Linked DNA regions of Sus scrofa. The protein of the gene in region 1 purifies or fractionates together with the protein of each later gene. This does not show direct contact. Links are inferred from orthologs where the notes say so. Each region holds a gene or a part of one and is shown on either strand. Other genes may lie near its edges.

The links. The genes of interacting proteins can lie anywhere in the genome.
Region 2: the proteins of ASPH (region 1) and LRRC59 purify together in Homo sapiens (co-immunoprecipitation; 3 studies listed by BioGRID and IntAct, with this or other methods). This does not show direct contact. The link is inferred for Sus scrofa from reciprocal best matches to the Homo sapiens genes ASPH and LRRC59.

Annotation. Positions count from the first base shown.
Region 1 is NC_010446.5:72,048,834-72,054,194, reverse strand, and holds part of ASPH (aspartyl/asparaginyl beta-hydroxylase), read right to left. Parts: intron 5,188-5,361; coding exon 5,037-5,187; intron 1,489-5,036; coding exon 1,352-1,488; intron 1-1,351.
Region 2 is NC_010454.4:26,690,687-26,696,817, forward strand, and holds the start of LRRC59 (leucine-rich repeat-containing protein 59), read right to left. Parts: upstream 3,582-6,131; 5' UTR 3,375-3,581; coding exon 3,270-3,374; intron 1,507-3,269; coding exon 1,447-1,506; exon of another isoform or gene 175-1,446; coding exon of another isoform or gene 1-174.

The DNA.
Region 1 (5,361 bases):
CTCTTTCAGAAAATGGAAAAATTAGGACAAAAGTCAAAAGACTATTGCTCTGAAAGTCCGTTTTTCTTGATTAGGGGACCAACAGCGGGGCGGGGGGGGGGGGGGGGAGGAAAGCACCACTTTGTGAGTGGATCCAGTCCCTAGACTGAGAATGAAATCACTATTCCCCACAGCATTTTAAAAACAGAAGGAATCTTATTGCCTGTACTGAGCAGCAGCATTTTGAAAGCCATTGATCCCAAGACCTAAATAACAGAATAACAAGGAAATGTGCTTTTTTTCTTTTACAGAGGCTCTGATGTGCTCCAGCTTCAAAGTTCATTGGGTATCCTGTCTATTCTTTTTTTTTTTTCTTTTTTCCGCTGTACAGCATGGAGATCAAGTTACTCTTACATGTATACATTTTTTTCCCTCTCTTTGTTCTGCTACAATATGAGTATCTAGACATAGTTCTCAATCCTGTCTATTCTGTACCAAGATCCCTCAGTGCTTGAAGGAGTCACAGTTTTCTAGATGATATAGTTACTTGTGACTTTGCAGTTATTTATTACAGCATCCATTATTAAGGGAGACTTTTTTTTTTTTTTTTTTTTTTTGTCTTTTTGCTGTTTCTTGGGCTGCTCCCGCGGCATATGGAGGTTCCCAGGCTAGGGGTCGAATCGGAGCTGTAGCCACCGGCCTACGCCAGAGCCACAGCAACGCGGGATCCGAGCCGCGTCTGCGACCTACACCACAGCTCACGGCAACGCCGGATCATTAACCCACTGAGCAAGGGCAGGGACCGAACCCGCAACATCATGGTTCCTAGTCGGATTCGTTAACCACTGCACCACGACGGGAACTCCGACTTTTTTTTTTTAAAGGTATCCTTGCTGTAGGATCAAACAGTCAATGCCCTCTGAAAGGTGAGTGATTTAGTCCATAGGTCCGAAAGTCTTGTGTTGTGTAGTCTCTCTCTAGTTTGGACTTTGAGTGAAAAGAAGAACAAGATTATGTGTTTTTCAGGTCATGAGTTTAAGTTCACAAGCTTTTGAGTTCCTCTTCCTATCATAAAGAACACTTTTAGAAAGCCTATTTGTGGACTGATAAATACATCATTTTTTAAAATATCATAATTGTAGTTGAAGGTTTTGATGTACCAAGGGTCATCTAAAATCTAAAATCTTCTGATGAAGTGGGGAAAGGATGAAACAAAACTTAGGATAGCCAACCATAATAATACTTAAATTCTATTTAACTGAATATAAAATAGAGTAAGAGACAGGAAGAATTAAATGCAATTTGCAAGTAACATTAGAACTTCATATTCAAATTATTCGATGTAGTTAATAGCACATTGCTGCTTGCTCACCGCTTCATAAACCTTCTTGGCATTGTCATTATCTCCTATCAAGAGGTACCCCACGCCAAGGTCATTCTTTAAGGAAGTGTCATCAGGAAAGAGTTGAACTAACTTCTGTAGAGTAAGCAGGGAACCTCTCATGTGACCTGATTCGGTGGAAAGAAAAAAAAAAAAAAAACAGTAGAAATAAAGACAGATTATGTTCACCTTTGTATTGAGACTACACATTATAAGAGACTATTCAACAGAGCCTGAAGACCTGCTTAAATCTGACTGTATACTGACAGCTAAGTCTCTATTAGGATTTCATTCTGCAGCTGCCAAAGCATCAGTAGCTCCCATAAGAAGATACTGAATATAATACTGATGATAAATATTTTAAAGGCATTCTTATTTTCTTTTTCTTTTTAATTTTTCTATAGTTGATTTACAATGTCCTGTCAATTTCTGCTGCACATCAAAGTTACCCAGTTTTTTATATGTATTATATATATATATTCTTTTTCTCTAAATTCATCATCAACATTTATCCTTTGATGTCAAATTCCTTCTTAAGAAAGTTTCAGTTATCAAGTCCTTACTTAAAAAGTATTTTTCTGGGATATTTTTGGTTTATTATGACTAACTTTAAAATTATGCATAGAGAACAGGTAAATAAAAAAATCTAATAGATTTCATAGAGGGTCCAGCACCCTCCATGGAACCTGAGGAGGCACTGAGGTGCTCTCTCTCTGGGTTTCGACCTAGTCATGGAGGCAAAGGAGGCATCGTTCGGTATTAGGGCGCCCTCTGGTGGACGATAAGATACTATGCGCACATATGTCATGAAAACCTAGCTTCAATTCATTTTTAAGGCTCTCTTATGGAATTTAAGATTTCAGGGGCCAGGCGTCATTACTCCTCATCATAGCTGGAAAGACAAGTATAACAGAAAGTTTTCCAAATGAGACTAGTATACATAATGAGATTAATTACCACTAGGGTTTTGCTGACAAACTGAAAATCAGCTAAGATGGTAGGACCATCAATAAGCTAAGGCAGATAGGATTGTTTGTGCCATATTTTAGATTCCATGTACAAGTGACATCATACGGTATTTGTCTTTCTCTTTCTGCCTTACTTCACTTGGTATGAGAATCTCTAGTTGCATCCACATGCCTGCAAATGGCATTTAGGTTTTTTTGGGGGGGGGGAGTGGGATGGACTGAGAGTTTGATGTTAGTAGACGTAAACTATTACATTTAAAAAGGAGAAGCAATGAGATCCTCCTGCCTGGCACAGGGAACTCTATCTGCTCTCTTGGGATAGACCATGATGGAAGATAATCTAAGAAAGGGAATGTATACACAGGTATGACTGGGTCACTTTGCTGTATAGCAGAAATTGGCATAACACTGTAAATCAACTATACGTTAATAATTTAAAAAAAAAGCTAATTGCAGTTAGATGCCTCACTAACAGAAAACCTATCTGGCATAAAATACCGCTACTTTACCCCATGACCCACTCTCCATTACTGGCGACCTAGGGTGGTTTGCTCAGCCATTCTTTCTTTCATGAATAAATCTGACTCCCCCTCCCTGGACCCTTCCTTCTCATCTGCCCAGCCTAGGCTCACACTTTCCTTCTGCCTCTAAACTCCCCCCAGCTGAACCACAGCAAAGGCCCAGGTGAGATTTTGTCCTGCTGCCACATGCTCCCTGTTCCTTCCATGCTGCCTCCGAGGAACGAACCACCTTGTCTGTGTCGGATTCCCTCCCCGTCTCATTCTCATTCAGAGAGAAGACTAGATTCAAATATTGAAGGACTGTTTCGAAAGAAGGTCAGACCTACTCACAGGTCATCTTTCTCCAGGGCTATATAGGGTGATGAGGCTGACAGTTAGTGCAGAGTTTAATAAAAGGGCACCAAAAATCCAGGAATCAAGATGAAAGATATTTTACGTCTTTCTTTCTTTCTTTAGGGCCGTACCTGCGGTATATGGAGGTTCCCAGGCTAGGGGTCCAATTGGAGCTACAGCTGCGGGCCTACGCCAGAGCCACAGCAACGCGGGATCCGAGCTATGTCTGTGACCTACACCACGGCTCATGGCAATGCCGCATCTTTAACCCACTGAGTGAGGCCAGGGATTAAACTTGCATCCTCATGGACACTCGTCAGGTTCATAACCGGCTGAGCCACAACAGGAACACCTATGTATTCTTTTTAAAAATAAAAATTAATGTAAAAAACCCACCGTGCCAAACAGAGCCACATCAGAGGCCTGCGGAAAGAGGACAGCTTGGTGATACTGATTGCGCACCCAAGGTGCGTGCGTGCATGGAGCCGCAGCCCTGCCTTTTCCATCCGCTCTGTGTGCTGTGCATTTTTCTTCCCCTGGACTAGCCCTTATGAATATGTCTAATGGGCTATTTCTTCCAGTTTCTAACTCATCTACCAAAGCGACACAACTCCCTTTAATTCTAACCCTCGGAAAACTGATACAAGGTTCAGTTGGCTTTGAACACTACTTTCATGGGGCTCTTCTAGTGACACTGAGATAATTCACCTACATAACCTATCCAGCCAGCAGAGAGCCCACCTGAGCAGTTACACATGCTTTAGTCTCCCCTCCCGGCACACTGAGGGCATTCTGGGTGAGAGAGAACCCACCACTAGCCTGGTTAAAATAAAGTGAGTCTCGCTTGCCTTTGGCCCTGGGAACCTGGGTCAGTCAGAGTAGATGCTTTATGCGGCTCTGTTCAAAGAATTTGCAAATTTGCTTGTTGATGAACATTTTTTCCCTATCATGTTCTACGGTATAAAGTAAAAAACTCAACAGGTAATTTTTTTTTTTTTTTTTTTTGTCTTTTTGCTGTTTCTTGGGCCGTTCCCGCGGCATATGGAGGTTCCCAGGCTAGGGGTCTAATCGGAGCTGTAGCCGCAGGCCTACGCCAGAGCCACAGCAACGCGGGATCCGAGCCGCGTCTGCAACCTACACCACAGCTCACGGCAACGCCGGATCATTAACCCGCTGAGCAAGGGCAGGGACTGAACCCGCAACCTCATGGTTCCTAGTCGGATTCGTTAACCACTGCGCCATGACGGGAACTCCAACAGGTAAAATTTTTTTAGAGGGCTTAGAACCACCATTCCTCCAGAAAAATTATTGCACTCAGAGTTTCCACTGTAGTCCAGTGGGTGAAGAATCCGACTGCAGCAGGGTTAAAAGATCCGGTGTGGCCACAACTGAGGCAGAGGTCACGGCTGAGGCTTAGATTCAATCCCTGGCCCGGGGGGACTGGGGCCACAAAAAAAATTACTGCACTGATGCTTTTAGCCTCCGTGAACCAGTTGGTGATAGTTCAGAAAGAGAAGAGTTTGGGATGATAGGAGGAGCTCTTGATTCCAGACCTATTAATTTATTAGCTATGATTCCTTAGGCAAATTATCCAACCTCTCAAGATTCCATTTGCCTCATCTGTAAAATGTGTGTGGGGTGGGTTGGCGGCAAAAATACCATCTGCATCTTTGCCAGTATGAAGATTAGGATTGCTATTTCAGTCTGTCACCATCAGATAAACTGCCTGAAATGAGTTATAATACTCAGGTTTCCTTCCATGTAACTAAACTTTTCTACAAGTACACACAGCCGTCAGGCTTTTCAAGATAAAAGCGCACCATTTGCTACTGAGCAGATTCTTAGCCATCTCACCTAGAAACTGTTGTCTGTCTGACCGTCGCTTCAAGCTCAGCTTCACGAGGTCTGCGGGGACGTCCGGCAGGCTGGCCGCTTCCTGGTAGGTCTGGATGGCCCTGCGCAGGATCTCATTGCTCCTCCTCTTCTCGGCCAAATCATCTTCACACTAGAGGAAGTTTCGGCACGGGATAAATGTCCCAGGACAAGCTATTTTTGCAGTTACCCAAAATATTTATGAAAAGTTGGCTTTGGGACATGTTTTCAAAGTCATCCGAGGAGTTTCCATTGTGGCCCAGTGGTTAATGAATCTGACTAGGAACCATGAGGTTGCGGGTTTGAT
Region 2 (6,131 bases), on another chromosome or scaffold:
CCTGGGGTGGGCAGTGAGATGCATATGCACAGGGCTTAGCCTGAAGGAGGCACGAAGTGTGGGTTCCTTTACCCTCGGCCCTCCCTCCGACCCATCCTCCAGAACACCCTGTGGCCACCTTTCATAGGAGCTGTCCAAACATGGTGCAACCATCCGTTTTTCTAGAAAGATCATGTGCCCCGTGCGTACCTAGTGTTATTCTTTGTTGTTCTTTGCAGCACCCAGCACAGTACTTAGTACAGGTGCCCAAGGAGCATTCTCTGAGTGACTGACTCAGCGGGCTGGGGCCCATCCTACCCATATGCTGGCTCTTCTTCAGCACAGTTCAAAACATCCCTCTCGTCATTAAGCCTTTGCTCAGCCCCCAGCTGAAGGGATGCTCCACCCTCAGCTAATGAGGCACTAGCTGTGTTCTCTGGGGACCTGTAAATGCCAGTGGATCTGTACTGCAGAGGAGAGCAAGACAAATGAAGAAACTCAGACTGCAAAGTGCACTTGGGGGTGCCGAGTGACAATGTGACAAAGTGTCCGGCAGGTTGCAAGGAACGGCTGCCCTTCTTTAACTAGACACAAAATACTTCCTGGAAGAAGGGGGATCTTAGATGCTTTTTTCCAATGTTAGAAACAGTTCTTGATGAGCTGCAGGAAGATGTTACAGACAATAAGTGAGGCCCAGGAGAATGGTAAGATGGAAATGGACTAATGATCCAATGAACAACTGCCAACTTCTGGGACTTAATTCCTGAGCCAGAGCCTGACGGGGTATGGTGCAGAGTGGACCGGCCAGAGTAATGGATGGAAAAGGCAATAATGACAACAAACTTAGGCCTGACGGTGCAGGACCACCGCCATGGAGGAGAAACCAGCCCATACCCAGGAGAGGTCGAGGGGGCTGAATGACTCCTACGCTTTCACAGGTGGAGCAAAAGAAGCAGGAGAAGTTGCACAAGAAAAATCAGAAGGATTCGACTGGAAACATTATCTCAAGTAATTCAGGTGTCGGGAGGATGATATGGCAAGTCCCACAGAACTATGCTTTTTCCCATTCCCCATCAAAAGATGCACGGAGAGGCTGTTCAGAAACAGCATTCTCTCTGGAATGCAGAGCAACTTACAGAATCGTCTCTTGCCTCTTCTACTGCAATAGGGAGGTAAACTATTTCTCAAAGGAATAAAATAAGGCAGGAAAAAAAACATGACCCCAACAAGCGACTCAGCCAAATGTTCTGGTGACTTTCGTTTTTGGTGGCCTGACTTTCCCACTGTTCTTAAAGAAAGCGGCCTCTACCATGCTTCCCTTCCTACTGAGATGAACCTCCCCGCTTCTACCCCCAACACACTCCAATTTAGTGGTAGCCTGCTGGCAGGCCTATCCTGAAATTATGCCTTATGATGTAACTCCGCCAAATAAGAAGGAGAAGCATGAAGGCTCCCTGCCAGTCTTACCGGTAGAGTAGTCAGTTTATTGCAGGACAGATCCAGTATGGTGGCCTTGGAGAGGGCAGCCTAGGAAAGGGAATGAGAACAAAACGTCAGATCAACACATGGAACAATTCAGTGACATCTGCTAATGAAGCAATTTCCAGAGAAAGTCCCCACGATTAGAAAAGACCTTAAAAAAAAAAAAAAAAAAAAAAAAAAAAAAAAAAAAAAAACCTCTAAAGTATAATGTTCCTGGAGACAGGAAAGGCAAAATAAGCCAGTCAGAGTCAACCAGGACAGAGAGATGAATGCAAAGAGCAGGGATTCCTTTCCAAGAAAGGAAAACAGATTCTTAGAAATTCTCCATGGCACTCCTACTATTCCCTCTAGTACTGCTCCCGATTAGGTTCAGGGCAGGGACTCTGTCAAACAGCTTTGTGATTTCCATATTCTCTAGGTCAAGGCTCTTCTCCATATACCCGTTGGCTGATCCACGACTGAATGAATGAGTACATGAGTGAGTGCAAAGTAAAATAAGGCCCTCACATCCCAGCTCTGTTTTCCCATGGGGTTCAGCTTGGAGAAGCTCAGCAAAACTAATCCTTCCGTCTCCCGGGGGCGATGTTGTGTCAACCAGATGCCTGGAGTAAGTGCTTTCAGATGGCAGTCCTAGGGCCAGGCTGACACATGGCTGGCCATCTTCCTGGGGCCAGGAAGAAGGCAAATATTCGGTTAAGGATATTGGGTCAACTCTGCACTTTCCAAATGTCAGAAAGTCCCAAGAATGACATCTGACGACCTAAAAAAGTTTGAGCTATTACAATGGGAAGCACACCTTGGTAATACCTACATGTATGAGCATTTGCTACCTGCCAAGTAGTTTACATTACAATTGTATTTAGTCCTCCCAACAGCCCTATGAGATAGCAACAACTATCACCGTGTTATAAAGGAGGATAATCTAGGCTCAAAGGTTAACTAGCCTGCCAAGGGTACTAAGCCATTAAGCAATACAGCTGATCTACGAACTGGGAATCCCATTCTAACCTGGATACTACACAGCCAAGGTGGAGGGAAGACTGGGCCAAGTGCCAAAAGCAAATATGATCAGTTAGAGACAGTGACGAAAGTGCAGGTCATCCAAAGCGACGCTACTGTGGGGGATAAGGGTGGGGAACTAGGTGGGCAAAGCAAGGATGTACATTAACTTCACTTTGGCAACAAACTAGTCAGGTAATGTCCCTTGGGCCTCAGCCTGTTTTCCTGGTTGTGGGAGTGGGGGGGGGGGGGCCACCCTGGTGCAGATTCCCGCCAGTTTCAGAGTTGGGAAGAGACCTTGCCAACCAAGCAGTGACATTTCACTCTCAAGGAAGGACGCCTCAAGGCTGGGACAGCCAGCTGGGATTGGTCGCTTCCTAGAAAGGCCTGGTTCTGAGCCACACCCAGGTCTACCCGGAGGCCTACTCTGACGAGTCACTCATTCATTTGTTCATTCATTCTCCCAAAACATCAAGCAATCTCTCCGTGGGCGCCTACTCTGGGTCGGGCACGGAGCGAAGTTCCCTGAAAGCTCTTGAAATGCACGAAGATTCACTCCTGACCCGTAAAAAGCCCATGGCTACACCAGCAGCTAACCTCCCATCTTCTGGACCTGCGCCAAAGTGACACGTGTACATCCCAGGAAGAACGCTGGGGCTGGACGCGGCCTCCCCGAGGACTTAGTCCCACTTCCCCCACCTCGTTTTAAGCCATGGAAACTGAAGCTTGGGAAGGAAGGAGACCCCCCCCCACCAGGGGCCAGCGCCAGTCGAGGACCGGCGCCTTGGGCCTCGAGGGACCGTACTGACCAGCTCCTTGACAGGGACCTCATTCAGGTCGCTGAGGCTCAGGTCCAGCTCGTTGCCGTCAAGCTTGTCGCGGAGGTTCCCGCCCTTGCTACCGGCCTTGGTCATGGTGACGCCGGCTGAACGGGTCCCGGCCCCGGGGCTCCGACGGGCAGGAGAAAGGCTGAGAAGCCGCTCGTGGACTGAGGGGACGCGCACTCAACCGACAAAGCCTACGTCCCCCGCCGCCGCAGGTGCGAGATCACCGCCGACCGTCCGCCCGCCGGCCGCACTCTGAGCCCCGCACCCCGTTCCCACCGGTGCCGCCGCGACGACGACCACTTCCGTGTCCACGTCACCTTCCGCGGCCACTGAGACAGGCTGGGCCAGAGCGGCCAGAGCATGTTCGGGAGCGCCCTCTGGCGCACAGGATGGCGCACTGCTGTCCCGGGCACGGCCGAGGGCGCCGGTTCAGGCTCTTTTTTTTTAGGGCATCCGCGGCATATGAAAGTTCTCCATGCCACAGCCACAGTAACGCGGGATCCCAGCCGTGTCTGCGACCTACACCACAACTCACTGCAACGCGAGATCCCCAACCCGCTGAGCGGGTTGGAACCCGTGTCTTCAGGAATACTAGTCGGATTGGTTTTCTCTGCGCCAGAATGGGAACTCCTGGTTCAGGCTCTTTCTGTTGCCCGCCCCCTGAGCAGCTGGGTATCCGGGTGGCGGGAAGGGCGCCGGCTGGCAGTAGCCTCAGGCAACGCCAGAAGGCAAAAAGGCTGGGGGCTGGAGTTCCCGTCGTGGCGCAGTGGTTCCGACCAGGAACCATGAGATTGCGGGTTCGGTTCCTGCCCTTGCTCAGTGGGTTAACGATCCGGCGTTGCGGTGAGCTGTGGTGTAGGTTGCAGGCGCGGCTCGGATCCTGCATTGCTGTGGCTCTGGCCTAGGCTAGGCCGGCAGCTACAGCTCCGATTGGACCCCTGGCCTGGGAACCTCCATATGCCGCGGGAACGGCCCAAGAAATAGCAAAAAGACAAAAAAAAAAAAAAAAGGCTGGGGGCTGGAGGAGCTCACATCCAAAACTTACCTCACCAGATTTTCCCCATTCTTCTGGATTAGGAGCAGAAACTAGATGTCCTTCAAAATTGCTCTGTCCCCTATTTAACTAACAATCCCCAAATCATCATCATCGTCCGGAAAACTTTGCCTCTCTCTCTCACCTCCTCCTTACCTCCCCAAGCCCTGGGACCAGCAACTTACGCCTGGATTACTACTCACAGTGTCTCTACCTCTCATCCACCTCCACCCAGCTGCCCACATGATATTTCTAAAAATCTAGCCAAGTCTCTCCTTTGCTTAAAACCCTTCAAACCTCCAGCTGTCTGTAGGATATGGACCACTCTCTTTTCTAGACTGAATCCTGTGTGTTCCTGCAACTTTCTGACAAGCCCTGGCCCCAGCCAGGGATACTTCAGAGACTTCCAGTAGGTGGCATCCACACCTTCCCTGGTCTTGGAATGGCCCTGCCTTCCGACCTACCTTTGCTACCTAGCTAATTCCTAGTCCTTCAGGAAACCTTCCCTGGGGTTTATGAATCCTTAAGCAGTCACCATACATTACCTACAAACAAGCATTATAATGGTACCCGGCTGATAGAGTTTGAGGAGGACTGAATTAGTAAAATACATGAAGAACTTACATCAGTGTCTGGCACTTAGTAAGTACCCAGTCAATACTAGCTTTCACTCCTAATCCACCGTTATACTTACCTTTGTGCGACTTTCCTCCTAATGGGTTGTGATGGCAGGGGTTTCGCCTTTGCATTCCCAGTGTCTGATCCAGGGTAGCTGCTCATTCAAAAGTCTGTTGAGAGTTCCCACTGTGGCTCAGTGGTTAACTTATCCGACTAGGAACCACGAGGTTGCGGGTTCAATCCCTGCCCTTGCTCAGTGGGTTAACGATCCAGCGTTGCTGTGAGCTGTGGTGCAGGTTGCAGACGCGCCTCAGATCCCGCGTTGCTGTGGCTGTGGCGTAGGCCAGCAGCTACAGCTCTGATTAGACCCCTAGACTGGGAACCTCCACATGCCATGGGAGCAGCCCTAGAAAAGGCAAAAAGACAAAAAAAAAAAAAAAAATCTGTCGAATGAATGCATGAAACACGTCACCCACTCCAGACTTCAGTTGGCTTATTTTTGTTTTGTTTTGTTTTTGCATTTTAGGGCTGCACACAAGGCATATGGAAGTTTCCAGGCTAGGGGTCGAATCAGAGTTACAGCTGCCGGCCACAGCCACAGCCACAGCAATGCCAGATTCGAGCCATGTCTGCGACCTATACCACAGCTCATGGGAACGCTGGATCTTTAACCCACTGTACCACGATGGGAACTCCTGTCTTATTTTCGAAATGGAGAGGGGATCTATGAAGAACCAATGAAGTCAGTTCAGGGGCCTACTCAATTAACAAATCATTGTGCGTACTGCTCCCCATCCCTAGGAAGGCACAATACTCTGGGCTCCTGGGAAATAGACAAAGGCAGTTGGGGTAATGCTATATTAGCACTGGGCAACCTCTAAAGCCCTTGAGCATCCATTCTTTTTTTCTTTTTAGAAACGCACCTGTGGCATACGGAAGTTCCCAGGATAGGGGTGGAATTGGAACTGCAACTGGAGCCTATGCCACAGCCACAGCAATGCCAGATCCAAGCACATCCTCAACCTAGGTGGTGGTTTACGGCAACACTGGATCCTTAACCCACTGAGCAAGGCCAGGGATCAAACCTGCATCCTCAGGGACACAATGTCGGGTTCTCAACCCACTGAGCCACAATGGGAATTCCTTGAGCACCCATTCTTATTTTGATTCTGCATATGAAGAGACCATGGGGC